Linked DNA regions of Nothobranchius furzeri. The protein of the gene in region 1 interacts with the protein of each later gene in a pairwise test. Links are inferred from orthologs where the notes say so. Each region holds a gene or a part of one and is shown in the gene's direction. Other genes may lie near its edges.

Region 1 (4,707 bases):
CTCATCCCGTGGGGTCAAAATGATCATGAGAACAGTGAGCAAGAATCCCAGAACCACACAGGGGGACCTGGTGAATGACCTGCAGAGAGCTGGGACCACAGTAACAAAGGTCACCATCAGTAACCCACTACAACGGCAGGGAATTAAATCCTGCAGTGCCAGACGTGTTCCGCTGCTGAAGCCAGTGCATGTCCAGGCCCGTCTGAAGTTTGCCAGAGAGCACATGGATGATACAGCAGAGGATTGGGAGAATGTCATGTGGCCAGATGAAACCAAAGTAAAACTTTTTGGTATAAACTCAACTCGTCGTGTTTGGAGGAAGAAGAATACTGTGTTGCATCCCAAGAACACCATACCTACTGTGAAGCATGGGGGTGGGAACATCATGCTTTGGGGCTGTTTTTCTGCTAAGGGGACAGGACTGATCCGTGTTGAGGACAGAATGAATGGGGCCATGTATCGTGAGATTCTGAGCCAAAACCTCCTTCCATCAGTGAGAGCTTTGAAGATGAAACGTGGCTGGGTCTTCCAACACGACAATGATCCCAAACACACTGCCCGGGCAACAAAGGAGTGGCTCCGTAAGAAGCATTTGAAAAGTCCTGGTCCTGGAGTGGCCTAGCCAGTCTCCAGACCTCAACCCCATAGAAAATCTGTGGAGGGAGTTGAAAGTCCGTGTTGCTTGGCGACAGCCCCAAAACATCACTGCTCTCGAGAAGATCTGCATGGAGGAATGGGCCAAAATACCAGCTACTGTGTGTGCAAACCTGGTAAAGACCTATAGTAATCGTTTGACCTCTGTTATTGCCAACAAAGGTTATGTTACAAAGTAATGAGTTGAATTTTTGTTATTGACCAAATACTTATTTTCCACCCTGATTTACAAATAAATTCTTTAAAAATCCTGCCATGTGAATTCATGGATTTTTTTTTCACATTCTGTCTCTCACAGTTGAAGTGTACCTATGATGTAAATTACTGACCTCTGTCATCATTTTAAGTGGGAGAACTTGCACAATCGGTGGCTGACTAAATACTTTTTTGCCCCACTATATGTGTGTTCAGCTGATTTCTCTGAGTGCCCAGATGAGATCCTGAGTTAAAACTCTGCTCTGTTCACGTTAACAAAGCACACCCTGCAGAGGCACAAAGGAGTCTGGGGGACATTAGTGCAGGGTTTTGGATGCATCCTCAGTAGGAATGTTGGTCGATCCCTTTCTCCTTCCCAGATTTCGTTTCTGGCCGTTTTCTCCTGGGAAGATCATGCAGATTGTTTTTAAATTTAAGACCAATTTATTTGTTTCTGTGTTATAAACTTGTGTATTTTTATGCTTTAATCACAGCAGTGGTACTGTCATCAGGATTATGAACAATAAAGTTTCCTTTTGAACCTTTCTGCTGCTCTCAGGCTGGGACAAGCACTCATATGGTTATCACGGAGACGATGGCCACTCCTTCTGCTCCTCTGGCACCGGGCAACCCTACGGACCTACATTTACAACGGGCGATGTGATTGGCTGCTGCGTTAACCTCATCAACAACACCTGCTTTTACACAAAGAACGGCCACAGCCTAGGTAAGCAGAACCGAAGCCGCAGGGCTCTTCGGTACAGATTTGTGCTCGGTTAAAGGGATGATTTTTATTATGAAAAGTGAAAATGGAAATCATCAAGCTGCCCTCTGGTTCTGGATCAGTTCTTTATTTAATGGATGTGTGTGTATTTACATGGAGCACGTGTTAATCTAGTAAAATCGAATCTAATAAAACAATATTTGAATGAAGAGCTATGTTCATTATCGAAACACAAATTAAGATGCTCAACCTCTAATTTCTGTTAATGGTTGCTGCAATGGAGTAAATGTTGTCATTCCCTTTATTATACAGTATTATTATTGTCATTTATTAATTCACTTTGGATTTATTTTGCTCACCTTCCTCCCAATAATGGATTCTTCTCAGATGAATTCACATCTAACAAGGATGAACATGTTTTTTCTGAGCATCTTACAACTGGGTTGTTTTTATTTTCCTAAACTTAAACCTTAAAAAGCACCATGAGGTTTTTTATTGCTGCTTTTTGCCACAAATCATTTAACCAAGGATGAGCTGACATGTTCATGGGCGTCGTGTCACAGTGAGTTCACTGAACGTGTTTTTGGCTCAGTGAAATTTTCCTTCATTTATTATAACATTTCCAATAAATATTGTAGAAAATTAAATGGTGGGAAAAAAATAAAAATCTGGAACATTTTATGTCCAGAAGGCTAAAAGCTAATTCCACAGAAAAATCTGTTACAGCAAAAGTCACATTTGTTCTCCTGTATTCGCTGCATCTGAGAGACAGAGAGCAGAAAGGAAACTGCAGCTTTTTAAATTTTAAACACTTTTCTTTTGTCCTCTGCTCTGAAATCGGTGTTTGGATGTTAAATCCGAAAATGTAAACCAGCTACAGGAAACCTCCTTCCTGGTTTACACGACTAATTAAATCAGGTTTCTGCAGAAATAACCTGGTTATTTAATCTTCTGTGAACACAGACTCTCTGGCCTTCTGTTGTTTTTAGATACGATTCACTTCATTCTGACTCTTGCCTTTATTCTCTTGCAGGTATCGCCTTCACAGACTTACCAGTAAGTAGCCACTTCTGTTTACCCTTGATTTATCTTTAGTCTCCATTATTTATCATCATCATTATTCATTATCTCGATTATATATCATTAGACACAACTTGATTCAGAGAAGTGTTTCAGTTTTCCTCTGAAGTGTTTACTCTGTAAAAAATAAATAAATAAAAAATCTGATTAAAGGGTGAAAAACCGGAAAGGTTCAAATGTTTGATTGTTGAAGCGACTGAAAAGATGTTACTTTTCTAAAGTCAGTTCAAGATGCTTTACGGGCCGGTCGTAATGTTGTGGTCTGTTTTTGGTCAGAAACTAGAGTTAACCTGTATATCATTCATGTCATATGTTAATGATTAAGAGATGAAGATGTGTAACTGGCTTTTGTCTCAGAGTTCTGTCTCATTTTGTTTGCCATATTTATTTGCAATTTTGTCTTCAGCTTCTCCCAAAGTCGTCTTGAACACCTGACCTACAAAAACTAAATTGAGAAGAACTTGAGATGGTTCCACTCAACATCTACTTCTAGTGGATTATTTGAATATGTTCAAAATTCAAGTGAAACAGCCTTGAGACTCAAAATCTGAGAACCCTCACAAACTGTTATAGATGTTCATAAGAGCGCTGTTTGCTGTTCTGAATATTTTAGTTTGGGGCCATAAAGTTCTGATATTTCCATCATGTCAGTTTTGTCGTACCCTGCTCCACACATGAACACTTCCCATACCCAGTGGGACTGATGCACGCGTTAACTGAGCTGAGAGCAAAGTTTCTCTCCACCTTCTACAGACTGGGATGCAAATGAAGACAGGGGCTGACTGTTTTTTCAGCAGCGAACAGAAGACTCTTAACCACAACAATAATCTATTGAGCAGCCTTGGCTGTGAGCCTGATATTCATGTTCCTCCAGAGATGTACAGTGAAGTGCGTCACCTCGGCACAGCTGACCTTTGTGGTTATCGAGCAGTGACGAAGACGAGCCTGAGAGACACACACAGCTTTGTTGCATATTTTCTTTAAGTGATTTTAATGGACTACATCCATTGGTTGACCCAATCCTTGCCTCGCACACGTGCTCTGCTCTTTACAGCTCATACATGTGTATTTTTTCCTCCATCAGAAACCAAACAAATCACCCAGTTTGTGTTTCTGTGAACATTTTAGAGCCACAGAAAAACCATCAAAGTCTCAGCATGAAGTCACGGGTGTGAGTCTGGTGCCCGCAGCTGTCCAGGATGTGGATATTTGACTGTGTAATGTAGCGAGTTATGAGTGTAAATGTCGATTCGGCTTATGTTACATGTTCTTCTGCATGTCCGTAGCCTGGAGAACTAGACCAAACTCTTGCTTAGCAAAGTTAGGCCATTTATTTAATCTGGCTTGCCAGGCTAGCATGTTTTGAGTTTTAAATATAATTTTATAGAATAAATTAGATAGAAAATTCCCAACAAGCATTTAAAACTTCTACTAAAAGCTGCTTCTGCTTGTTCATCTTCACCAGTTGGCGTTTAACCAAACTGGAGTTCAGTTTGAGGAACTATTGATCCTCAGAGACAACATCTATGGGGAGGAAACTGTGGCGACAGGAAGATTAGATTAAAACAATAGACTGGAACGTCGAGTGCCAAAAAGTGTTTGGAGTCTGAAATCTCAGCACCTGGCAATAAAAACGCTGAGTCATTGTTTCCAATAAACAAACCAGGCCGTCGGTCACCTTGATGGATATTTTTTTTTATTTTATTTTTTGCTAAATCTTTGTGAAAATCCTTTTTACTGGCGGGTTAATTACACAATAACTCATTTTGTCTCCTTTAGCTAACGTTTTAATGATAGAGCAAAAGTTATTTCCTTAGATTTTCCTTTTTCCTGTTTTCTCAGTCATTACTTCCTGTTTTGATTTATGGTACAGACTAATTTCCTCTCCCGGTTCCCTCCTTCGCTCCTGAATTTAACCCTGTCTCCCTTTCTCCTGCAGCCTAACTTGTACCCGACCGTCGGCCTTCAGACTCCAGGGGAGGTGGTGGATGCAAACTTTGGCCAGCACCCGTTTGTGTTTGACATTGAGGACTACATGCGAGAGTGGAGGACAA
Region 2 (4,165 bases), on another chromosome or scaffold:
GGTGTTAACCGTCCAGTCTGGTGGTCTGGTTCAAAATCCAAGCTTTGCTGTGTGTCACTTGTGATGTTTCTTCCATAAAATAAGTGACATCTCTCTTTTTCCTATTTCCTCCTCCAGTCAAAGGCTCTCGGCCAGGAAAGAATGTTCAGCTAACGGAGAACGAGATCCGCGGCCTCTGCCTGAAGTCCCGTGAGATCTTCCTGAGCCAGCCCATCCTGCTGGAACTGGAAGCTCCTTTAAAAATATGTGGTGAGTTTTTGTAAAAATTAGGGGCTGGAATGTAAAATTATAGTTTTTCTGTTTATTTTGAGTTTATTCCTCCTAATAGTTATTGCTCATAAACCAGGAGCTAATTAGACTTTTTCTCCTCACATAAAGGAAATCTTACACAACATGTTCCTCCATTGGCTGAAGTCTTATCCTGGGTTTACACAATGGCTGCCTTTTGTTTGGGTTTCAGCATATTACACATCCTACCATTTGTCATAGTATTTGTCACCTAAAGTCCTCTGGAGCAACTCGAAGCCCAAACTCTGCTTGATCAGACAACCACAATGTAGGTTATCACACCCAAAGTTCACAGCTAATCTGGCGACAAGGACAAGTTCGTCTTGCACAACACGTCCATTAATGACCTTATTATTAAAGCTTTAAAATAGTTTTATTGTGTGAACTTCATCAGCTTTTCTTTTCATAATTGTCTAAATAGCAAGTCGATCAATTACAATACAAAAACCAAAAGAATATTTTAGGGAGATTATATCACTAAGACTCTAAATTATCTTTTTCTATTAATAAAAGGAATGAGAGTTTCAGAATTGGTACGGTCCACTTAAAGGCTGGCTAGTTAAAAATAGGATTCTTCCTCATAAATGACAGTAACGCTGACATGGTGTTTCTTTGCTGCCCCCTGCAGGTGATGTCCATGGTCAGTACTATGATCTCCTCCGGCTCTTTGAATACGGAGGCTTCCCTCCTGAAAGCAACTACCTGTTCCTGGGGGACTACGTGGACAGAGGGAAGCAGTCCCTGGAGACCATCTGTCTGCTTCTAGCTTATAAGATCAAATACCCAGAGAACTTTTTCCTGCTGCGTGGCAATCACGAGTGCGCCTCTATTAATCGAATCTATGGTTTTTATGATGAGTGTAAGTGCAAAAGATGTCTGTGAATAATGAACAAGTCAGAGTTGGTTGTACAAATGCTGCAAATGTTTCTTTTTCTTTGCTGGTAGGTAAGCGACGGTATAACATAAAGCTGTGGAAGACCTTCACAGACTGCTTCAACTGTTTACCTGTGGCTGCCATTGTAGATGAGAAAATCTTCTGCTGTCACGGAGGTAGAGCTAGTGAACGTGTGCTTTACGGATGATGAAATATGAACGACTAACAAAACCTGATGTTCTCTCTGCGTCGTCTTTAGGCCTCTCTCCGGACCTCCAGTCCATGGAGCAGATCCGCAGAGTAATGCGACCCACAGACGTGCCTGACCAGGGTTTGTTGTGTGACCTGCTGTGGGCAGATCCAGACAAAGACGTCCTGGGTTGGGGCGAAAACGACCGTGGCGTCTCCTTCACATTCGGAGCAGATGTGGTGGCCAAATTTTTGCACAAACATGACATGGACCTAATATGCAGGGCGCACCAGGTGATGTTTGAGTGGTTTTGTGTAACTCGCCAGGAAAGCTCTGCTCCTGTTAACTTTGATCTCTGCTTGTTGTGGGGGTGTTATTGGGACATGAGTCAACACGCTGTGATATTGCGTCATCTATGTAAATTTAATCCTTTGAGGACTCTAGTGGCTTCTTCATTCTTCTAGCACTGATTCATTCGGACTTGAGTCACTTTTATGTTCCTCGTGTTTTTACTGGGATGCACCCTTCACAGGGGCACACAAAGGTTACGTACGGTAGTTCCTAATTTAGCTCAAGTACAACTGTAATGTAAGAACTGCAACTCAAACATTTCACAAACGTGTCGGGGAGGAAAATCTTTTTCCCTGATTATGTTTAATCGTTCTCACCTGGACCTGAGAAACCCTACTAGTCTTTGTTCTGACACTTTTATTTCTGTGCTAAGGTCGTGGAAGATGGTTATGAGTTTTTCGCAAAGAGGCAACTCGTCACTCTGTTCTCAGCGCCCAACTACTGTGGAGAGTTTGACAATGCTGGTGCCATGATGAGTGTGGACGAGACGCTCATGTGCTCCTTTCAGGTGGGTAAACACACGGCCTGTTTGTTACTGCTCCATGTAGCTTAGCTGAGTGATCTTCGTATCATTTGTGTGTGTGTGTGTGTGTGTGTTTCCTAGCTCCTTGTCAAACGGATGTTTAACATATTGAACTTGACAAATATTCAAATTGGGACTTTAAATTAGAAGAAATTGTGTTTGCCATTTTAATGTGGATCATTCCTTCATCTGTCTTGCAGATTCTGAAGCCAGCAGATAAGAAATTGTATTCTTTCGGAGGAGGAGGAGGAGTGGGATTAGGAAGACCGGTCACTCCTCCAAGAAATTCAGCCAAGGCCGCTAAGGCCAAGAAATAACACCTGCTGAGTTCCCTTCCTACAACCTTTTCACCCTCTGTTGGCCCAACTTTCTTTTTCTTTTTCTACCTCCTAATCTTGTTTCTCTTAGTTACCGAATGGCAACAAAGACGACCAGTGTCCAATGTTCATTCGTGTGTTATATATATTTTGTTTGTTTCTAAAACAAAGTTCAAACGTTTATCTGGTTATTTACGTGTGTGTGTGAGAGGGAGATGTGAGAACGACACAAAGGGAGTTGCTGTATTCTGTACGTTTTATTTCCCTTCCTCTTGGTCTTTCTGTTGGTTGCAGAGACGGGTTTGTCCCACTCATCATGTAAATCCTAGCCTGGCTGCAGGGGTGGGAGAGCACAGCGCTGACTGATTATGTTAAGGCCAGGCACTGTTCAGCATTACTTTCATGCTTTTGTAAATCATGTTTCACGTATTCATTTATGTCTTTGATGGGTGTGTGTGTGTGTGTGTGTGTGTGGGGAGATCATAGATCAGGTTGCACAGCTGGAAGGTAACGGCACAGGTGGATCTATAGAAGTGCAGGTTAATGCTCGAGTTTGATGAATTCACAATAAGATGACTTATTTTTTTTTCCTTCTTCCAACTTGAAAATCGTTTGAGATGACATGGATGTGATGTAGAGTTGCTCTTTTCTTCAACCTAATTTTTGTTTTATTTTTGTAGATAACTGAAATGAGTATGGTTTTATTTTCCTCTTTCTTTTTTTTAGTTTATTTGAAGCTGAAGATGAATAAAAAGTAACCATTTATTTGAATACGCCATCATGCTTATCACTTTGTTATATCTGTCGCTCAGTGGTTGGTTTCTGTTGTGGTTTTGACTGCTGCACCTTGAACTAATGCAGCTTTGAAGAATTGTTTTATAAATGGGATGTAAATGATGTAAATACTGGCAGGTGTGCTTCTGGCCCGGATGATACACAGATTAAACCGAGACGTGAGACTTGCTGCTTCAGTCTGATCAGGACGTGTTCATTAGAAACGAAGAAAATGATTATTTAAAGAAAACTTGGGATTGTTGTAGAGCTGGGCTGGTGTGCGGCAGCAATATTTTAGCTGAAATACTCAAACAGCTGTCATCCAATAACAAACTGACAGTTAAATAGATTTAATATTTCATACTGTTAAGAATGCAAGCTTTATTTAAAATGAGAACAATTAAAGGAATATCAGATTGTTGATCACATTTAAATCCTTCATTTGATTGTAAGTTAAACAAATATAGTGTTAAATTTCAGACCCAAATTCTACAATCATAAATCTTAACCTTGGTACTCAAATGGCATGGCCCTCTCATCCCTTTAGTTTTTATTGAGATGGTTACGAAGCCTCGAACGTGAGGAAAATGCCTGCAAATCGTGGTTCTAGAGTAATAAAACATGAATGTATTAAGATAAACATGTACATACATTATATTCAATCTCTTAAAAGTTAAGGTCACGGCATCAAGTGCTTTTCAGGTGAACATCTTGTTTTCCACTCGAGACTTTTCTGTGCTTTCTACTTTAGCGGTTCTGTAGACGTATTTGGATTTGTTTGTATTCCCTTCCCGTGGAAAAAGCCATAAACAAATTTATTGTATCAAATTATTCTAGTGAAACAACAA
Region 3 (4,707 bases), on another chromosome or scaffold:
AAACATCCAATTGTCTTGTAAAGAATGTGCATATGTATTTTCACTCTTCAGTTGTTATTTTTTATTTTTAAATCCCAAATATGCTTAATAATTTAGACAAATCTGATCCAGTTTGTGTAAAGTGGCTGTACACTGTAAAAAATTACTGTTTATTTAACAATGATAAACCGTAAAACCATAACAGGAAAAAACCGTCAGCTATAAAACTATTTAAAACTGTTGATTTAATGTGGTGTTGCCACTGGTGAAAACAGTAATTTATAAATTCTTTGAATAAAATACATATTCCCACAGTAAAGCACTCTTTCGTCAGCTTTTTTCATCAACGGTATAAACACTATGATTTTTACATTTATTAATTGAAAACATTACAGCTTTTAATTGCTGATAACGGATACATGGTGTAATTTAAAGGCCCCGTGTGTGAAATTCACAGAAATCATAGTAAAAAGATCCGACTCTTTAGCACCACGCAGTTTATAGTTGGTATTGCAGCTATTGGAGCCCCCGAGGATCAAAAAGGGTTTTTTTAATCATTATTTAAAACTTTATTAACAAATATAACAAATACAATACAAAATCGTGTTGCTGTAAACGGCAGCATGTCATCATCTAATTCCAGCTTTCAAGTCAGCGAACAGGTTAGTTGTTTTCATCTAACTTATTTTATTAATTTAATCTAAATAGGTTTTGAATAAGAAAAACTTTTTTATGTCAGTTATGTTTGCTAATAGCAAACGGCAGCTAGTTAGTGATGACTTCTGACTACAAAAAATGACAATATTTTGTTCATTTTATTTGAGAAATGTTATATTTCTATTTGCCATTTTGGAAATATACAAGGTAGTGTAGTCTGTAATTGTTTTCTCTCCGTAAACAGAGTCAGATATCATCCGATGGTTCATCAGTGAAGACAGACAGAGGACGAGGGAGAGGAAGAGGGCGAGGAAGAGGGAGAGGAAGAGGGAGAGGAAGAGGGAGAGGACAGACGTGTGCCAGCGCACAGAGAGGCAGAGGTGTTAGACATGCGACAGAAGCAGGGCAAGCATCCCAAGATGAAGGAGCCGAATTTGCTCAAACCAGCCGCAACGTTCCACGCACAAGAGGAAGAGGCAGAGCTGCAATAAAGTCTAGAAGATCGGCGCTTTCAAGCACTTTCAAACTATCCCGTTTCTCAAGTTTGCTTGTAGAATATGTGTGATCCTCCATCGCTAGAAGTACGGTGTGGCTAGTTTCTTCTTCTTCTTAGTTACTTTGTCAGACTGCATGCTTACAAGGCGCACTTCTGCCCCCTGCTGTTTCTTTGAGGTTACATCATTTAAAAACGCAAACATCAAATGCGAAGCTTAATATGTTGTATGTCCCTAAAAGGTCACTGTATTTTAAGATGGCGCATGCCATATGGAGCACCGGTCTGCTTCTTTTGTCTAAAATATTAAAATATAAAGCTAATAATAATGCTTAGAATAAATGCTTGTTTGAATTATCATTAAAAAAAAACAAATTTGAGAATGTGATACAAGAAATTTGATAACTTATAAGATGAAATATCACACATTGGGCCTTTAACGTTGTGAATTTTACATTAATGTCACATGAAAACACTAGATTATACAGCATTAGGGATGCAGATTTTCCAAGATTTCTTTAACAAGTTATTGATGCCCTTAACGATTATTAGCCATTAGCCATTAAGTAAATTAATTTGATCATGTGACAAGCTCACTTCTTCTGTGGTGTTTCAGTCAACATATTTTGGTAGCGGCACTCGCGTGCCTTTTAGAGACACAAAAAAAAATTGTAGCAGTTGCTGGGGAGAATTTACTTCCTGTTTCCCAGTGAGCTTAACGGCATTTAGGTGAAGTCTGGCACAAAATAAACAATCAATGATGAACAAGAGTCTGCTTCTAGACCTGCAGAAGGAGAAAAAAAAGAAAAACAACACACAACAATACAACAGGAGCAAACAATCACTGTATCAACCTGATGAGAAAATATTAAATCAACAATGTTTTACTGAACAATCACACGATAATAAATCACAGTGTATTAAGTGCCAACCACAGCCTCAAGGCATGTGTTGAACGTGCCCAAGTCCATACTTATGAGAGCACCATGTGAGCACCTGTGTGCGTACCCGCGCTTGCATATGTAAGGTTTCTCTATAGGAGCGTCCAATAGAGAGTGTGAGGGGCCACAGATCTGCCCCCAAAGATGTGTAGGAGCTCCAAGTCTCAGAGATCCAGGAGCTGCCCCAGAGTGCAGGGACCCCAGGGAGACTGCAACCAGAAAAGCCCCTGCCCCCCTCGAGAGGCGCAGAGGATTGCCCCGGGGGGCCACAACCAGCATCCGGCAGAGTCCTGTGAGATATCAGCGGCAAGCCCACAGGCCCGCCCGCAGCCTCCCACCCCCCAGCCAGCCGAGCCCAGGACCCAGGGGCGACCAACCCCGCCGGGGACCCAGCAGAGCCCAGGGACCCAGATCCCACCAGGCAGCCACCGGGACTGATCAGGCAGACACCAAAAATCTTAAACCCCCTAACCACGAACACTCAGGCAGACCAAGGCACCACACTCCACACCAGGTGTGGCAGGGGGAGGGGAGATGAAGATGTATAGCATCAAAAGAAGTCCCAGGAGGAGGGAGGAGTCAAAGGCCCCACCTGACATATACAGTCATACACAGACACAGTAATACACTCCCTCCCTCATGCTCACACATACACATACAACCAAAGACTTACAAAAATGCATGCCGGACACCCACTCATGCTCCCCATACACACCCTATTCACTCTGGTCCCGGTACTGCTGCACATGGGGTAAAACCATTACCGGTTCCCAGAGTTCGACCCTTTCTGCTGGGATGCTGATGAGCAGACTCCCCCGCCCAACACTGAGCAAAGCAACCCACCACCCCAGACCCCAACCAGATGGCCAGATCCCCCTCCTAGCCTCCAGCTCCGGGAAGCCAAGCAACAACAGAGGTGTGCTAAGACCCCTAATCTCCCTCCGCTTGCTCCAATATAGTGTTAGTGCATGTTGATGAGGTGTAGTCCATGGCTGTGGTGAGCGGGCAACGCGGGCATCGTCTAGCCTACGCCAGCTGATGCCACCACACCACCCCACTTGCACCCACAGCCCTTAGTGTCTAAGTGCAGTTTAAAATGGGAAGTGGGCACCAGCACTCAGAATGAGGCTGAAAAATCCCCCTGCCAAATGCCGTTGAATGTGCTCACTCCCAAGACCCCAAGTGTTTGCGTGGAATGTCGTTGGTGGAAGTGTTTATGGTGCAAATAAAATTGGGGGGCAGATTGCCACAGGAATGTGGAAATGGGGTCCATACCTGCACCCCCTGACTTGTCCACCCCCCCAAGGTCCTATGTGCATGTTTGTGTGATGATGTGAGGGAGCAGGAGGAGAAAAATGTGTGGGTATGGGGAGGAATGGCTGGCTGGGCTTAAGCCCTCCAGGGAGCCAGCTCCCCCACTGGCCCCAATAGGCACCTCTGTTGCCAAAAGGCCACCCAGGGCTCTTTTATCGTAAAATCTAAGATTTTTTGACAGTGTAACATGACAATGAGTTCCCCTATCAGTAATATTATGGACTTATCTGTGAAAGAAACGATTCACTGTGGTAAATTGCAACACTTTTAGAGTGAAAATATTGGTTGAATTGACACGGACACACTTTGTTCTCCCTCTGCAGGTATGACTAGCCTTGGAGGGGTCGTCGATGGACTCTCGCTGTCGTGGTGGCGTTGCCAACGATGATCTCAACTCAGAACTCACACAGGTCACCACGGGGCTTTAATCCCACGCTCGGGGGAACAAAAAACCACACGTGCACTTGGACAAAGGTGGCTGGCACATTTCATGGTGGCTGGAAACCTGCTGACTTGTGCTCAGAAGCTGCGTGGCTGCATGTTTGTTTGTACTCGGCAGTCCAAATTAAAAACAGCATGAAATATTTAGATTAAATTAAATATTTATTAAAAATACCACCATAAGAAGAAGGATGTTCCAGGCAGTATAAAAAATCTAATGTTTTATCACTAAAATGTCTTTTGCTCTCTGGTTATATGATGATTTTTATAGACTCTGCCTCGCTGATCTGCTTCAACATCGCTGCTTCGTCCAGGTTCTGCCAACAGATCCATCATTTGCCTTCATAACTCAATGCCATTCCTTTGTCAGAAGTTATTGCTAAATATTACCACATGTCAAAATAACACGGTGAGTTATTAAAAATGTGAATTTCAAGTGTTCCTTCACTCAAAAGCTCCAAGGCTTTATGCCTGCGCGGGGACTTTTCTGAGCAGAAAGTGCAGTTGACAGTCATTGGGATCAGCTGTGCTTTTCCACAAGCCTTTGTGCAGCTGCAACAGGGGTTGACCTCAGAGTTTAACACCAATCGGCTTGGCACCACGCTGGACCTGGGTCACTTCAGAATTATGGAGTGGTCCATTTCTGCTCCTCACTTCAGACGATACATAATTCTTCAATCCAACTTGAGGTGTATAAAGCCTTTGAAAGCATGATATGGCGAGTTCTAGGTTCTCTCCTGTTCAGACAGGAAATCATCTGTGTCCACCACAGCGGACGCTAGTGCCAAACAGTGGGTGCTCCAAACCAGCAAACAAGATGCATCAGCTTGTTTGAACTGCACACATAGCATACTGTTAAAAGATCCAGAGCAAACACGGTGT
Region 4 (4,707 bases), on another chromosome or scaffold:
AGTTCAAAGTGTTTGGTGGGATGAGTGAAGAGAACATGACAGAGCTTTTATCCAGGTAAGGTGTTCTTACATATGTGATCCGTTGGTGTGTGATTACAGCAGAGCAGTCTTTGTTTGGGTTTCTGAGGATTATTGTAAAGTCTGCCCTGGAACTGGGAGATCAGGGTTCAGATCCCGCTCGCGCCATACCGAAGACTCTTTAAAAAAAAAAAAGGTGGTGGTGGTGGGGGACTGGATACACTCAGCTGTAAGAGGTTGGATTGGGGGGTTAAACCACCAAATAGTTCCCGAGCCCAGCCACTGCTGCAGCTCAACGCTCCCCACAGGGATGGTGTGATAATGACTAATTCAGTGCAACAATCCATAATGGCACAGGGTTGATGTTGCTGCTTCATATTGATGATCTTTACTCTTGTTTGACAGTGGCCTTAAGAATGACTACAACAAAGAGACATTCACATTAAAGCACAAGATTGACGAGCAGATGTTCCCCTGCAGATTTGTAAAAATAGGTAAGGGCTGTGTGTGCTGTAATAAGTTTACATAGGGTATCCGCGGGTCCTTAAAAGTCTTAAAAAGTCTTAAATTAGCTTTTCCACATTTAAGGCCTTAAAAATCCTTAAAAATTACAAATAATCCTTAAATACAGTTTCCAAAGGTCTTAAATTACCAAAGACCCAATAAACAAGATTATTTTATTTCTATAAAATTTTCGTGAATTTCTAGTTAGTGTTCAGCATTTTATGTGTGTCATATTTGCATAAGTGGAACCGTACACATTCAGTTGGTTGTGAAAGGGGGCTATTTTTAGATGAGCACATTAGCTGGTTAAGCTAGTGGGAGCTTGCATCATGGGGAAGTGCAAGTTTAATGGTAACTGGATGGCTAATCCCACGTTCGCGACGTGGTTAGAACCGGTTCCAGGCAATAGCTGGAAATTATAGCTTAAATGACATTTTAAAAAAATGGCTTAAATTTGGTCAAAGGGGCCTCAAAAAAGGTCTTAAAAAGTCTTAAATTTGGCCCCCTTAAACCTGCAGATACCCTGTTTACAGTGCTCGTGTTTTGCTTAGGTACTCATTTGTCAAACTTTTTATCACCTCTCGTCTCAGTGCCTCTGATGTCCTGGGGTCCAAGTTTTAACTTCAGCATCTGGTACATTGAACTTCATGGGATTGAAGACCCTGATGTGGTGCAGCCCTGCCTTAACTGGTACAGCAAGGTGAGACCTGGAGCGTTAAATCATTCATGTGATAGATTAATCAGCAGGTATGACAATAAAACTGTTAGAATACTTGGTGACACACCTGGGCCCTCATTTATCAACCATACTTACGAACAGATCTGTGCGTATTTGGTGCGTGGGAACCTAATATTAATGTCGATGGTGGGAACAAACATGTTCCTAAATATAAGAACAGCTCTGACCATGGGTAGGAACAGCATCTATTGGTAGAACAGGGGAACTGTAATTCTGAAGTTCTCAGTCATCCATGCGTGCTCCTCATCCACACATTTTATTTATCCAGTGTGTAATTATGTCGGTGGAAAAACTGCATAATTGGTGCTAAAGCCAATAAAAGACACCTGTGACCGACAGGAATCTGACATTATATCATGGCTGATCTGTGTTTTTGGAGGATTTAACAGAGCGTTCACTCTGGAGGGAACGCGTTCTCTCAGCGCACTGATCTCAAAGGAAATCCTGCCATGCTGTTATTTGGCAGTCTTTGTGGCGCGAGAGATAAACCACACAAATCCAACTCCAGTTCATATTTTATTTTACAGCTACGAGAACCCTCCAGAACCTCCTCTGCTCTCCGATCATACACTCTGCGTTGCCAGGGTAACCAGATTGAATGACCGTTGTGAAGAGGCTGTGTTCTCAGACCGAAATTCCAATAAAAATAACTCCAAACAGAACGACTCCATAACCCGTTACTCCACAATTTATCATGTATGGAATTTATCATCAGACGATTGCGGGGGAACGGGCGTACGAGAGGCCACCGCGTGTTTCTTAAATTCGTCTTCGGACTGTTTGTACACACATTCTAAATTTTGGTCATAGGAGGGAATAAAGGACAGTCTCTACGAACGTTTCGTCAAGTACGTGTCAGTTCTGATAGGGCCAGACAGAAAGTCAAACACAAACCGTGTAAAACATCTGGCTACTTTCAAAATAAAAGACGTGCAGATTTCCTGTTGCATAACTAGTAAAAAAAAAAAAAAACGTCATTACCTGTGACACCTCTGTAGTCGAGGTAAACACACGCGTGAACGGGCAAAATCATGTGCAATCTTGTAATTCTCCTGCGGTGCCAGCTGCTTGGAACTCTTGCAGCTGTTTCCCGTCTGAAACTCTCCAGGCGGGAAGAGAGGTGTGGCTGAGGTCACGGGTAAAAGCGTTTATTACCAGTCTAGTGAAAAGGCTCAGGTTAAAGGGAAATTTAGCAGTTTTGGTTTGCTTTTAGTACCCCAGTGTTCATTTTAATTCACTGTAGTTAAAAACAAAACTGAAACCCTTGTCCTTGCTGTGCGTTTGAGTTTTCAACACCTTAATCTAACTGCTGAAATGTCTCCTCAGCCTTCATTAGTTTCTACAGGAGCAGTTATCACTAAATCAAACGGATCAGCTGTGTTCATGATGTACAACATACAGGAATCGCGTGTCTGAGCTCTTGCTATTCAGAAGACTCCAGTGTTTGACTCTTGTTTGACTTCTATTGTGATCGGGTGTTCTTTTTATTTTCTTAGCTTCACCAGATAAATGTTTTCTTTGTTTCTTCTGAGGCGTCTGATTGCCAGAAAGAGTGCAGCGTCTGCCTCTTCCGACCACTGCCCTCGAGTCTCACACATTCAGACGGGGGATACTGTTCACAAGGATCCTGTTCACAAGGGGCAGAGAGGGCTGAGAGACTTTTGATTCGCCCTGTGAAGGGTCATTTATCACCTACTGGCTCAAAAAAATCATTTATAACTAATAAAAAGTTACTTGACATGCCTTTAACAGGTGGCCTCTTCACAGGAAGCAAAAACCAGGGTCAGCTGTTCATTACCCTGCTGTATATAAACTTATTTACTTGATTTTTATTTATTTTTATCATGATGGTGGTTTGTTTACAGTTAATTTGCTATTTTGAGTTTGAATACAGTTATGCAGAAAAACCTCACAGAATCCAGTTGTCTTCTAGTGTTTTAGTTTAAAAAAAACTCTCAAGATGTCCAAAACATTGATTGGTAGCTTCTACACATTGATCATTTATTTTGATATAGGTCCTCTTGATTGACATTTAAAACTTTATTATGAATTTCAAAACTATTTGGTATTATTTGGTATCTCCCAAGTACTAAAAGGGACCTTTTGGTGACAGAGAACATGTTTAAAGTACAGATTTATACAGATTAGCCTCATTTGTGTGGTTTCAGTACAGAGAACAGGAAGCCATCCGGCTTTGCCTCAAACACTTCAGGCAGCACAACTACACCGAGGCCTTCGAGTCGCTGCAGAAGAAGACCCGGATAGCTCTGGAGCACCCGATGCTCACTCATCTCCACGATCGACTGGTCTTACAGGGAGACTTTGATGCCTGCGAGGAGCTCATAGATAAAGCTGTGAGAGGTAAATAAAAACTTTTAAAAATGTATTTTGGTGTGATCTACTCAGAAAACCGCAGATATGCTGTTCTGCCTTTCATTATTTCTACTTAAACAGTCTTTTTCTTTCCTTTACAAGATGGCTTGTTTAATCAGTACATCAGCCAGCAGGAGTACAAGCCTCGATGGAGTCAGATCATCCCAAAGTGTAACAAAGGGACAAGCAGCCAAGAAATCAGCCGAGACGACGTGAACAGTGAGACAATCTTTTCCTAGTCCGTCCGTTAAACATTTCAGTCACATGAGAGCAGCTACAACATCTAACCCTTTATGTGTGCGCCACCCCCCCCCCCCCCCCCCCCCCCGTTATTCCACTCCCTCACTTTCCTCTCTGTCATCCCCCATCCACTCCACTCCCCTTCCTTATCCCCTCCCTCCTCTTGTTCCAGGTGATGGTGACGACAACAGGCCAGGGATGAGGGGAGGACATCAAATGGTCATTGACGTGCAGACTGGTGAGACCTACGCAGACGGTGTTATGAATTTACTGTGACTCACTTCCTCCTCCACAAACTCAAAATGCAAATATCTGTCTGTTTAATCAGATTAGACTTTCCTCTTCGCTCCCGTCACCTCCAGCTTCTCCAGACATTATAACATCTGTTTTGACAGCAACGCGATTTTAGTTTGGGGTGTTTTCTCCATGTTTTTGGTACTTCCTTGCTGCCTATCTGTAGAAAACAAAAGGCTAGTGTGTGTGGGTTAGTGATGCAGCGTCTGCAGCTCGTTTCTGAGCTGCTTTGTCTCTGACCACACACTGACAGCTGTGTTTTGTTTGGAGGACACAACATAAGTTGATACAGGAAATCAAGAAAAAAAAAGACAAGCCATGTACCAGTCCCACGACTTGTTTATCTGCAATACCAAATCATTTTTAAACCCTTTTGTTTATATTAAGCATACAATTTCTCATGTTCTGTTTCTCATACAATCATCCATCCATCCATCCATGTTCTGAACCCGCTTAGTCCACGTAGGGTCGGGGGGGCGGCTGGTGCCTATCTCCAGCGGTCAACGGGCAATCAGGCGGGGTACACCCTGGACGGAGAG
Region 5 (4,707 bases), on another chromosome or scaffold:
TTATTCTGATTCTGATTCTGATTTTCTCTTGCTTTTAAACAACTGTTTGATTGACTCTAATGAATTAATGATTATTTCTTCTGTTTTGAACATTTTCTGCCTGTTTTGCAGACTGCAGGAGGAGGAGCAGGTGTTAAACCTGTCCATCAAGGAAGCTACAGCTAAAGTAAGCCCCTGCTCCTCTCACCTGATTTGTTTCCTTAACCGCTCAGCCTCCTCGCTGCTTGCCCACAGTGACTGAATGTGTATGAAAGCCTAATAGTCAGAGCAGACAGTAAGTGCCACTGTCGGAGTGCTCAAAATGCAAACTAAATGTCAGTCTGCATTCTTGTGATCTTTTTTGATTTGACAAAGCAGTGATCTCTTCACCGCTGCGTGCTGGAGTCAGAAGCAGCAGGATGTGCCATTTTGAACAGCTTTTTTTTCCCAAGTGAAATAGGGATGTTAAAGATAAAGCTGTCAGATTTTTTCTTTTGAGTAGAGGAAGTACATAATAAAGTAAAAATAGAAGTCTGGTCAGTATGGTGTGTTTTTGTTTACTCTCATTTGCTCCACAGGGATTGGACGTTCCCCTTTTATGCTAATAAAGCTTCTGCAGCTGGAAAAAAAAAGGCAAAAAAGTGTAAGAAATTGCAGTTTACAAACAGCAGGTATGAGAGGTCACGTGTCCTTTAGAAACCCATCATCAAACCACCGGTTTGCTGCACTTCAAAGCAACGTTCGCACTTCCACCAGTCGCAAGAGTTTCCATTGTTATGTTAGGAATGAAAAGTTTGGTTCTTAAATGAAATACCCACCATGTGGAAAACGGCACACTTGCTGTGACGGAACGATTCCCGGCATGAAAGTGACTCTCATTCTCTCCGCTTTTGCAAAATTGACAAAGCCTGATGTTTGGAAATGAAATCGTCGGTGTCAGAATTTCTACAGACGGCAGAAAGTGCTCCACAGAGCTTCTTGCATGAAGTCAAAAATTTCAAGCCTGTTTTGCTTTATTTCTGTGGGAGGAAAGAGAAAAAAAAGCCTCCCTGGAGATGTTCTGCCTGTGAAATACCAATCTATTTGACAACCATGTGCAGAACTGTGTCAGATTCCAGAAGAGGAATAAATGCATAAGAAGATCCACTTCTAGGTATCTTTGAGGTGTGAAAACAATTCTTCAAAAGAAACGAGGATTTTATGTGAATGCAGCTAAAAGTGTGTATGCTTAGGAGCAGAGTGGATGGATCGGATCTTTAAAAAAACTCCATAAATTCTGCTCTGAGCGGCAGCTTCTCATCCCAAAAACCTGCTCTGACTTTCTAATAGTCCATATATTATATGAAAATAAGCCTTTTGTGTCATCTCTAGAGGTTTTTGATGAGGAGAGATGATTCTCGGCTGTGCATTCAGAGCAGAACAGACGCTGAAATGCAGATAAACCTGTAAGGTCGTCAAAGAATGAGTTTCAGATAGAAAATGAAGGCAGACGAGGAAATGAGCAGTGCATCATGTGGGATCCATGCCTGTGCAAAGGTTTTGCTAGTTACCACCCTCCCCATCTCACTCCTCTGCATCTTCTTCTCCTCTTTATCCCCAGGTGGTCATGAGTCAGAGGCTGGGCAGCAGCCTGAGGAGAAAAGTCAGCGAGACCGACACGCAGCTTTTGGCGCTGCATGAAGCCAAACTGGCAGCCATCTCTGGTAACTTTCCACTGAGCTTTACCTCCAAAACCTCCCTGCTACATTACGCATCCTTTCATTTACCCCATTTGCTCGAATCGCTCACCATTAGCCTTGCTTGATTACCCCATTAATGCTCAAGAAGCTCATTAATAGGCGGTGAGAGTGTAATGCCCTCCTGTGGTGCACCGGCGCAGGTAATGACTTCAGCAGCGCCAAGGAGCTGAAGGCTGAGATGAAGGCGGTGTACCTGGAGCGGGACCGGCTGGAGGCTTTGGCCAAGAGGCTGCACAGCCTCAGCTCAGGGAGCAGCCAGGAGCTGGCCGGGATGAAGGAGCAGCGGCAGCAGCTCAGGCAGGAGCTGGAGCAGAGGGAGGCGCAGCACGGTGAGTCTCTGAGGCCTCCTGCAGGTAACAGGATGTTAATAAAATCAACAGCTCTTTCCTGTGATTCAACACTTCTATAGTGAAGAGCTCACCTGGTCATTAACTAGATGCCTGCAAACTGTTATGCTTTACTTTCCTTCCCAACTTAAACCAATACAAGGATGAAAACCTTTTATTAACAACAAACAAGCACCCAGAGAATTCCCTGCGGACTGCCTGAATGTTTTGATGTAAAAACACCACTACAACACCAACGCCGACAGATTATACGTGCTTACTTTGATTTAATGAGGTAAGCAGCAGTTGCTTGGCTAGAACGCTAAAAACCAGCCAATAAATCTAACATGATGTTTTTTCTAGTTTTAAGCAGTCTAGCCACGCAACCTTTTGTTTCTCCAATTGGCGGAATTTTTTTACCCAAAAATTATAAAATTAATAAAAAATATGAAGAATAACATGTCCATTTTTTTATTTTCACTTTCTTGTTGCACCACCAAAAAAAGGAGAATGACCAAACTTGTCGCTCTGTCAGCTCAAGCATCCCGCGTGGCTCCTCTAAACCCCCGCCGCTACTGCCTCCACGCTTATTTAAAACATTGGCAGTGATCTCTAGTTATACGTTTCGTGTCACACGCTGGAGAGAAAATCCTCCAGTGCACCTGTTTCGGGAACTAAAAGTGAGCCAAATCAAAGTTGAGCTTCAAATGATGATTTGGATTCTTACTTCCCGATATTTGGACACCTCGACGTAGACATGCGATTGGCTGACAGCAACGCCACTCCACCGCTGACCCCATTTGCTCTGCAACGTTGATGTTTTATCTCCACACATAAAACAAGCCTGGAGGAGTTCTGCTGTGTGGTGCTAATGCTAACGGTTAGCTTCTACTCGTCAAAATGTGCTCTGCTGTTTCCTGGATGCTGAACTGTCGCGAGTCGAGATCAAGGACAGTGTGACGTGAATCTGTCAGGCTTGACTAACTCTAGAGTTTCACCGTGTGTTTTCTGTTCGAAGGAAATGCAGGAAACAGGGATGGAATACTATTTTCACATTCAGAGTAACCGATCATTTAAAAAAACTATTTGTACCGTAATTTCCGGACTATAGAGCGCACCTCAATATAAGCCGCACCTGGCTTAAAGCCGCAGATATCTACTGGATAGAAGACGTAGTCTAACTGAACGTAACTGAACTGATCAGTATCAGACAAAACAGAAAAGTTACTGATTAGTTTGTTCATCGTCCTCCTGCGCTCTGAAACCACTGAAGTCATCTTCTTCTTCAGTGTCGGAGTTGAGCAGCCTCAGAAGAGCTTCGTCACGCACCTTTTCTGTGGCGATGTCCGTGTCATCATCCCGGGTGAAGCTGGGAAAACAAGCGGCGCCGTTTTACTGTGAAAAACCCCTCCTGGGTGCTTTCCGTAGCGCTCCTTTAACCATTCCTTCATTAGACTTTCCAGCATCCATCCTTTCTGGTGGACTAAAGCCGCACCTCATGGTAAGCCGCGTGGTTCAAAGCGTGGGGGAAAAGTAGCGGCTTATAGTCCGGAAAATAAGGTAATAAGGGTTAAGGAGAACCCTGAATGTGTCAAATAAAACAACCGATCCTGGGTCACTCAGGATGGAAACCCAACCCTCTCGCCATTATCACTCCACTGACCTGTTCTTTATATCTCCACAGCAAAGTTCTAGCAGATACACATGTTGACCACGTCATAAACACACGCCTCGTTGCAGATCTGCTGTTTGTTCAGATGCATTTCTAAAAGTGATCATTTATGCATCAGTTGTAGTAAATCAGTGGTTCCCAAACTTATTTAGCCGCGCACCCCCTTCTATGTCCCGACCATGTCGACGCACCCCCCCCCCCCCCCACACACACACACATCACGGCATGGCTATATATATATATATATATAGATAGATAGATAGATAGATAGATAGATAGATAGATAGATAGATAGATAGATAGATAGATAGATAGATAGATAGATAGATAGATAAATAGATAGATAGATATCAGACGTCAAGCTAAACAGACAGGGTTAAAAAAAATATGATCGACCTTTTTCCCCATCACTTTCATTTTTTAAATAGTAATTAATAAACATTCGATACCATTACAATTTCCTTTGATTTAATTTTAAATAAATATTTAGAGTGCCCAGGTAGCACATAAACAATGCAATTTAACGGTTTTCTTAAAGTAGGAACGTTTAATCTGTGCGGCCAGAGCGCTCTCCTTCCTTCTGCTCTGCGTAAACCTGAGCTGATCACCTACTTGTGCGTAATCAAATGTCTATAGGGGAAAAGCTTTAGCCATGAGGTTCACTTTTGCCTCAGACCGACTTATTGCTGTTTTATGGTGTGGCTGAATCTGCGATCCGCTGCCACGCGGACTGGAACAACATGCTGCAGGTTCGGAGTCACTGGCTGGAGCGGACCCGACTTTAATACATCATCCCAAAATAGAAGCTAATATCTTAATTTGACCTGGAATGAAAAATGTTGATATAAAACCTCTTAAAAGTTTTTATCACAGAGGAGGCAGCGCTCATTTCTGCCTTCAGTCTGACGGTATCAGTCTGGCGCGCCGGAGTTTGCGCAGCGTGCACTTATTGAATCTCTGTGTGTGTGTGTGTGTGTGTGTGTGCGCGCAG
Region 6 (5,406 bases), on another chromosome or scaffold:
TCTATTTTTAAAAACTTACTACAGAGATGTTCCACACGATTAAGAGTAACCACACAAACACTGGGTATTTTGAGTATGATCTTTAAGGCATCGTTGTGTGCAACGTGCAGCTTATTCATGCTGCTGTGATTGCAGGATGACCGCAGTTGGGCTGTATAAAGCGGAGTACAATATGCTTTAAATAAAGCCACCTTAACTGGAGGTGAACAAAAACCAAACTTACGAGCTATAGTATTAGCTTGTGCATACAGCTTACAGCACTGTCTGTGGATGTCAGCATCACCACGCATTTGATCAGTTATAAAGTAGCCAAGGTATTTCACCTTCTCACACACATTAAGATCACTATTAGACAGTTTGAACACAGGAAAGTTTAGCTTTTTATCTTGCTTGGTTCTACATATCAAGATAGCACTTTTAACAGCATTATACTGGATATCGTACTGCACACCATATTCAGAACAGATATTCAGGAGCTGCTGTAAACCAGCACTACTTGGACTGAAGACCACCAGGTCATCAGCATACAAATTAAATAAGATAGACAGAATTCCACCCTGCCTAACACCATTACTAACACCAAATGGTGCAGAGATGCTGCCACCCCATTTAACCTGCATCATCTGATGAGCATACCAGTAAGACAGGATTCTCACAATAACCCCAGGGACCCCCCGTAGCTTTAACTTAATAAAAGGTTTTCTGTGGTTTACACGATCAAAAGCCTTAGAAGCATCAATAAAACACATAAGGACAGAAGAAGTTCTATTTCTATACCGGTTCACCATTTCTTTAAGTGCGTATATACACATGTCAGTACCAAGTTTTGGCTTAAAGCCAAACTGATTATCCAAGGAATTAAGGTACACAGTGATTCTATCAAATATGATTATTTCTAGATAAAACACTGGCTAGTGCAATCGGCCTATAATTATCTATACTGGTCACCTTCCCAGATTTGTTCTTAATAACTGGGACAAGCAGAATTGCCATCATTGAGTCTGGTAGTATGCCATGAATCATAAACCCTGTAAAACAAAGAGCTAAAAGGGAAGCTAGCCTTAGGCTAGTATATTTCAAATGTTCTGCACTAATGTGATCCAGACCACAAGCCTTGTTATCAGCTAGTTTGTGAATAGCTTCATGCACCTCATGGGTCGTTAAACATCTATATGTTCATCATTAATAACAGAGCCATCCTCATACCGATCACTTTTTAAACAATTTTACATTGCATAATAATGTTGTCTCCATAATGCTGCAATATTATCTTTCCCATTGATCTGCTATTTTTTAAAAGTGCATTTTAATTAATTACTCCATAATTATCTTGTAATAAGCTGATGTTCCCTTCAGATAAGAAAATATAAGTCAATCATGCAGCTTTTCTATTTCATAACGAATCAAATTCTACAGTATAATATGTAAAAAGAAACTTTCTTAATTTACATAGGTGTGTGTGTGTGTGTGTGTGTGTGTGTGTGTGTGTGTGTGTGTGTGTGTGTGTGTGTGTGTGTGTGTGTGTGTGTGTGTGTGTGTGTGTGTGTGTGTGTGTGTGTGTGTGTGTGTGTGTGTGTGTGTGTGTGTGTGTGTGCAAATTATGTATAAATTATATATTTTTTCTTTTTCTTTTTCACCCTATGACAAGGCCCAGACAGACATAAATACATTTCTGAACAGATTGCTCTTATAAGACGTCTTGATATTCCTGGTAAATGTGAATATCTGCCATGACACTTTCTGCTGCTTCTCCGTAGACATGAATGTCTGTGTGCTACCCATCGACATGTGCATATACTCCAGGTGCCACCTGCAGCTTTGTCGTGTTTATAATAATATGCTCAGGCGTTCTCACATCCAGACCAGTAGGAGGCAGCAGCGGTTTAGTTAGCAGCAGCTAGCTCTTAGCAGCTAGTTAGCAAGGTGCGGCAGCGGAAAAGGAAAACAGACTGGTCTCCTCTCCGCGCTAGCGCAGCTTACGTACATTTTTATGTCGCGGTTTTTATGAAGACGTACACTAGATTTTACTGAGAACAAATATTGCGATTTTTTTAAGTAGCTTATTATATTTTATGAATTATTAGCCAGCACGTAAACAGATACTGGGTTGATCTGAAATATTTCACGCTAAACCGGAAAATCAATATCGCTAAGACGATAGCTAATGCTAGGATAGCTAGCGGGTTAGCTCTCCGAACTGAAAGACCTACCTTTGGCTGAGTTCATTTAGTAAACGACTGCAATGGCTGATGTTGACAAACTCAACATAGACAGTATTATTCAACGTCTTTTAGAAGGCAAGTATGTTCATAAATGTTGTACATTTACACAAATTTTGACGCTTTACAAACAGGCAGCGCATTATATCATGAAACCCGTTTGCTAATGTTTTCCGTTATTATTGGTTTTACTCCCGAATTGACATCTAATGTGTTTTAATTGTAAATTTTCAATATAATCAAATGACAATGAAAGATTTGTAAAAACAGTTACTAAACTATATTAACGTAGTTGCGCATACCGGCGCTAGTCCGCCTTTGCGTGACCTATGATTTTAGCCGCTGCTGCTGGCTTTTATTCCTTCTCATCTACAGTAGATGATCTACTATTATACATATGAACATGTTTACTATATTTTAAACCAACAAAATAAACTTCGTAACGCTTGTCCCGATAGAATATAATAGTATGATGATGCATCTCGTACAAATACGTATGTTACTTCCTACATTTCCAAACAAATACTGCATCAGGCACTGCTGACAAAGCAGCAATAGTTATGTTGTTTTTTTGCTGACTGATGTTTGTGTTTTCTCTGCAGTCAGAGGAGCAAAGCCTGGGAAGAATGTGCAGTTGCAGGAGAATGAGATTCGTGGATTGTGCCTGAAGTCCAGGGAGATTTTTCTCAGTCAACCCATTCTTCTGGAGCTGGAGGCCCCTCTCAAAATATGTGGTTAGTAAAAACCATCATTTTTTTATTTACTGTTGCTTATTAATAAACGTTTTTCTCTTCGAGCTAGATTCTACCAATTACATAAATGTCAACATTTGATTCCAAAGTTAAAAGCTTGCTTGTCCAGTTTTTGCAGGTGCATTATTTATTTATTTATTGCTGTTTGTTTTGTTTTGCAGGTGACATTCATGGGCAATACTATGACCTGCTGAGGCTGTTTGAGTATGGAGGCTTTCCTCCAGAGAGCAACTACCTGTTTCTGGGCGACTATGTGGACAGGGGGAAGCAGTCTTTGGAAACCATCTGTCTTCTGCTGGCCTACAAAATCAAATACCCAGAGAACTTCTTCCTGCTGAGGGGAAACCATGAGTGTGCTTCAATCAACAGAATATACGGTTTCTATGATGAGTGTGAGCAGCTTGCCATTTAATTGTGTCACTGTTTGGTCTCTTGTGTGAACTTGCAGCAGCTTTCATGTTGTTAAACGTTTACCCCGGGTTTCCACGGGAGCCGTCAGCAGCACGTTACTGCAGCAGCACGTCTTGCTCGCGTAAGCTGCTGCTTGGCCCTTCCCACGAGACGCGAAGCAGCAGGGGAGCAGCTGTCACCGACAGAGCACGAAGTCACACGAGTGACTTCGTCAGTAAACACAACAACAAGCAGGAGAAAACTACAACATGGTTTGGGTTTTATGTTCTGTCCGTTTTATAATGGCCAATACGGACCTGAAAACAAAGGAGACCGCTAGCTAGGTGATAACTTCTCATGGGGACGCACAGTTAGTAACCTTTTTTAAAAGTAAAGCAACCGGAAGGCAGTACGTTCTTTATTCTGAAAATCTCTGTAGCTTCTCTCCTTTTCCGCGTCAGATTTCCTGTCTTTCCTTCCCCAAAAATGTCGAACTTGACCCGTTTCAGAGGCGTCGCGCGTAGAAAATAGAACTGGCGCGTAAAGGCTGCGACATGCTGCTCCTGAGACGCGGCCGACTCGCGCTGCTGACGGCTCCTGTGGAAAGCCGGGGTTAGTGAAAACTTGAATTTTTGTTGCTGTTGTGCCTTCAAAATAAAAGCATAACTATTTGTCTTGTTTTAGGTAAACGAAGGTACAACATCAAACTCTGGAAGACCTTCACGGATTGTTTTAATTGCCTCCCTATTGCTGCCATTGTGGATGAAAAGATATTTTGCTGTCATGGAGGTGTGTTTTGTCTTTAACAGAATATTGATGTTTAATCAGAACGTTTATGTTGCCTAGTGGAAAGCAGCTCGTCAGAAGAGGCTTGGCTTTGACGTCAGCCGTTCTTATTTGTCATTGTGAAATGATGTTGACTGGTGTTTGCAGCGACCCATGTGAAGTAGGTCTGACCTCTGTATCAGTTTGTTTGTTTGTACAACTGCTGTGTTGTTGCTTTCAGGACTGTCACCTGACCTTCAGTCGATGGAGCAGATCAGACGCATCATGCGGCCCACGGACGTGCCTGACCAGGGCCTCCTGTGTGATCTGCTTTGGTCCGATCCAGACAAAGATGTTTTGGGCTGGGGCGAGAATGACAGGGGGGTCTCGTTCACCTTCGGCTCAGAGGTGGTTGCCAAGTTTCTGCACAAGCATGACCTCGATCTGATCTGCCGTGCTCATCAGGTAACTGTGCTCACACGGTGGTGCATGGACATCGCGTCCTGTGCTGGCAAACTGTAGACTAAAGAGGAGGCCAGGTGCTCTTCTTACATTATGATCCCGGTGGGAAAGGAGGATTGTTCCTCTCAAATGGAGGGAATAGAAGCTAGCTCTCATTCACTCCTCCATGAAGGTCCTGATAATGTAAACAGAGAAGCATAAAACAGGATGTTAGCTGCAGACTGAAACAGATCCTGTTCAACTCATCCGCTGATTAATGTGTTTATGTAAGAACACACATAGTAGTGTTGTGTTTAGATCAGTCATATGGCTGAAGCCTGCACCTACATGCATGCCTCTCTGTCAGCCAGATGCTAAATGGTGGAGAGTTTTAATATTTCTGTGGGTTTTTTTTTAGTATTTGGTCTTTTTTCTTGTTTCAGATCATTCAGAGCGTGGACTCAGTTAAAAGACAGGAGGGTTTTATGTGAAAATAAGACTTATTTTCTTCTTCAGCATCTAAAATCAAGAACCGTTTCAGAAGTTTATCGTTTGTAATATTAGTATTTGAATACTCAAGCCACATCACATAAAGCAGACCTGCCCAACCTGTACGCATTTTGCGTAGCCAATTTGGCATCTATCTACGCTGGTACGACTCACCCCTCTAAACTACGCAAAAAGCTAACGATACGTGAGTTGAGTTCTGTGGCAAACATACGCGTGTGGTACTCATGTCTGACAACACGACTCAGCGGCGTGGGGAAGTTTAAGCCAATCATCGTAGAACAGCAGAGAAAAGCTATCCTGCCTAACCAATAGCGTAACAGCCCCGCCCT

The links.
Region 2: the proteins of ranbp9 (region 1) and ppp1caa interact in a two-hybrid assay, tested with the Homo sapiens proteins (2 studies listed by BioGRID and IntAct). The link is inferred for Nothobranchius furzeri from reciprocal best matches to the Homo sapiens genes RANBP9 and PPP1CA.
Region 3: the proteins of ranbp9 (region 1) and oprm1 interact in binary tests that used the Homo sapiens proteins (3 or more experiments, as listed by UniProt). The link is inferred for Nothobranchius furzeri from reciprocal best matches to the Homo sapiens genes RANBP9 and OPRM1.
Region 4: the proteins of ranbp9 (region 1) and mkln1 interact in a two-hybrid assay, tested with the Homo sapiens proteins (2 studies listed by BioGRID). The link is inferred for Nothobranchius furzeri from reciprocal best matches to the Homo sapiens genes RANBP9 and MKLN1.
Region 5: the proteins of ranbp9 (region 1) and disc1 interact in binary tests that used the Homo sapiens proteins (3 or more experiments, as listed by UniProt). The link is inferred for Nothobranchius furzeri from reciprocal best matches to the Homo sapiens genes RANBP9 and DISC1.
Region 6: the proteins of ranbp9 (region 1) and ppp1cc interact in binary tests that used the Homo sapiens proteins (3 or more experiments, as listed by UniProt). The link is inferred for Nothobranchius furzeri from reciprocal best matches to the Homo sapiens genes RANBP9 and PPP1CC.

The regions. Positions count from the first base shown.
Region 1 is NC_091751.1:36,409,446-36,414,152, reverse strand, and holds part of ranbp9 (ran-binding protein 9), read left to right. Parts: intron 1-1,408; coding exon 1,409-1,576; intron 1,577-2,606; coding exon 2,607-2,629; intron 2,630-4,592; coding exon 4,593-4,707. UniProt on the Homo sapiens protein: May act as scaffolding protein, and as adapter protein to couple membrane receptors to intracellular signaling pathways. Acts as a mediator of cell spreading and actin cytoskeleton rearrangement.
Region 2 is NC_091745.1:8,621,509-8,625,673, reverse strand, and holds the end of ppp1caa (protein phosphatase 1, catalytic subunit, alpha isozyme a), read left to right. Parts: intron 1-117; coding exon 118-249; intron 250-916; coding exon 917-1,147; intron 1,148-1,233; coding exon 1,234-1,338; intron 1,339-1,421; coding exon 1,422-1,645; intron 1,646-2,076; coding exon 2,077-2,211; intron 2,212-2,426; coding exon 2,427-2,543; 3' UTR 2,544-2,877; downstream 2,878-4,165. UniProt on the Homo sapiens protein: Protein phosphatase that associates with over 200 regulatory proteins to form highly specific holoenzymes which dephosphorylate hundreds of biological targets.
Region 3 is NC_091752.1:24,311,616-24,316,322, reverse strand, and holds the end of oprm1 (mu-type opioid receptor), read left to right. Parts: intron 1-880; coding exon 881-1,201; 3' UTR 1,202-3,694; downstream 3,695-4,707. UniProt on the Homo sapiens protein: Receptor for endogenous opioids such as beta-endorphin and endomorphin. Receptor for natural and synthetic opioids including morphine, heroin, DAMGO, fentanyl, etorphine, buprenorphin and methadone.
Region 4 is NC_091741.1:63,266,576-63,271,282, reverse strand, and holds part of mkln1 (muskelin), read left to right. Parts: coding exon 1-55; intron 56-423; coding exon 424-512; intron 513-1,112; coding exon 1,113-1,222; intron 1,223-3,429; coding exon 3,430-3,622; intron 3,623-3,736; coding exon 3,737-3,853; intron 3,854-4,046; coding exon 4,047-4,112; intron 4,113-4,707. UniProt on the Homo sapiens protein: Component of the CTLH E3 ubiquitin-protein ligase complex that selectively accepts ubiquitin from UBE2H and mediates ubiquitination and subsequent proteasomal degradation of the transcription factor HBP1.
Region 5 is NC_091752.1:2,347,453-2,352,159, forward strand, and holds part of disc1 (disrupted in schizophrenia 1 protein), read left to right. Parts: intron 1-111; coding exon 112-166; intron 167-1,579; coding exon 1,580-1,682; intron 1,683-1,858; coding exon 1,859-2,047; intron 2,048-4,707. UniProt on the Homo sapiens protein: Involved in the regulation of multiple aspects of embryonic and adult neurogenesis. Required for neural progenitor proliferation in the ventrical/subventrical zone during embryonic brain development and in the adult dentate gyrus of the hippocampus.
Region 6 is NC_091757.1:28,391,575-28,396,980, reverse strand, and holds the start of ppp1cc (serine/threonine-protein phosphatase PP1-gamma catalytic subunit A), read left to right. Parts: upstream 1-1,933; 5' UTR 1,934-2,242; coding exon 2,243-2,297; intron 2,298-2,821; coding exon 2,822-2,953; intron 2,954-3,132; coding exon 3,133-3,363; intron 3,364-4,045; coding exon 4,046-4,150; intron 4,151-4,367; coding exon 4,368-4,591; intron 4,592-5,406. UniProt on the Homo sapiens protein: Protein phosphatase that associates with over 200 regulatory proteins to form highly specific holoenzymes which dephosphorylate hundreds of biological targets.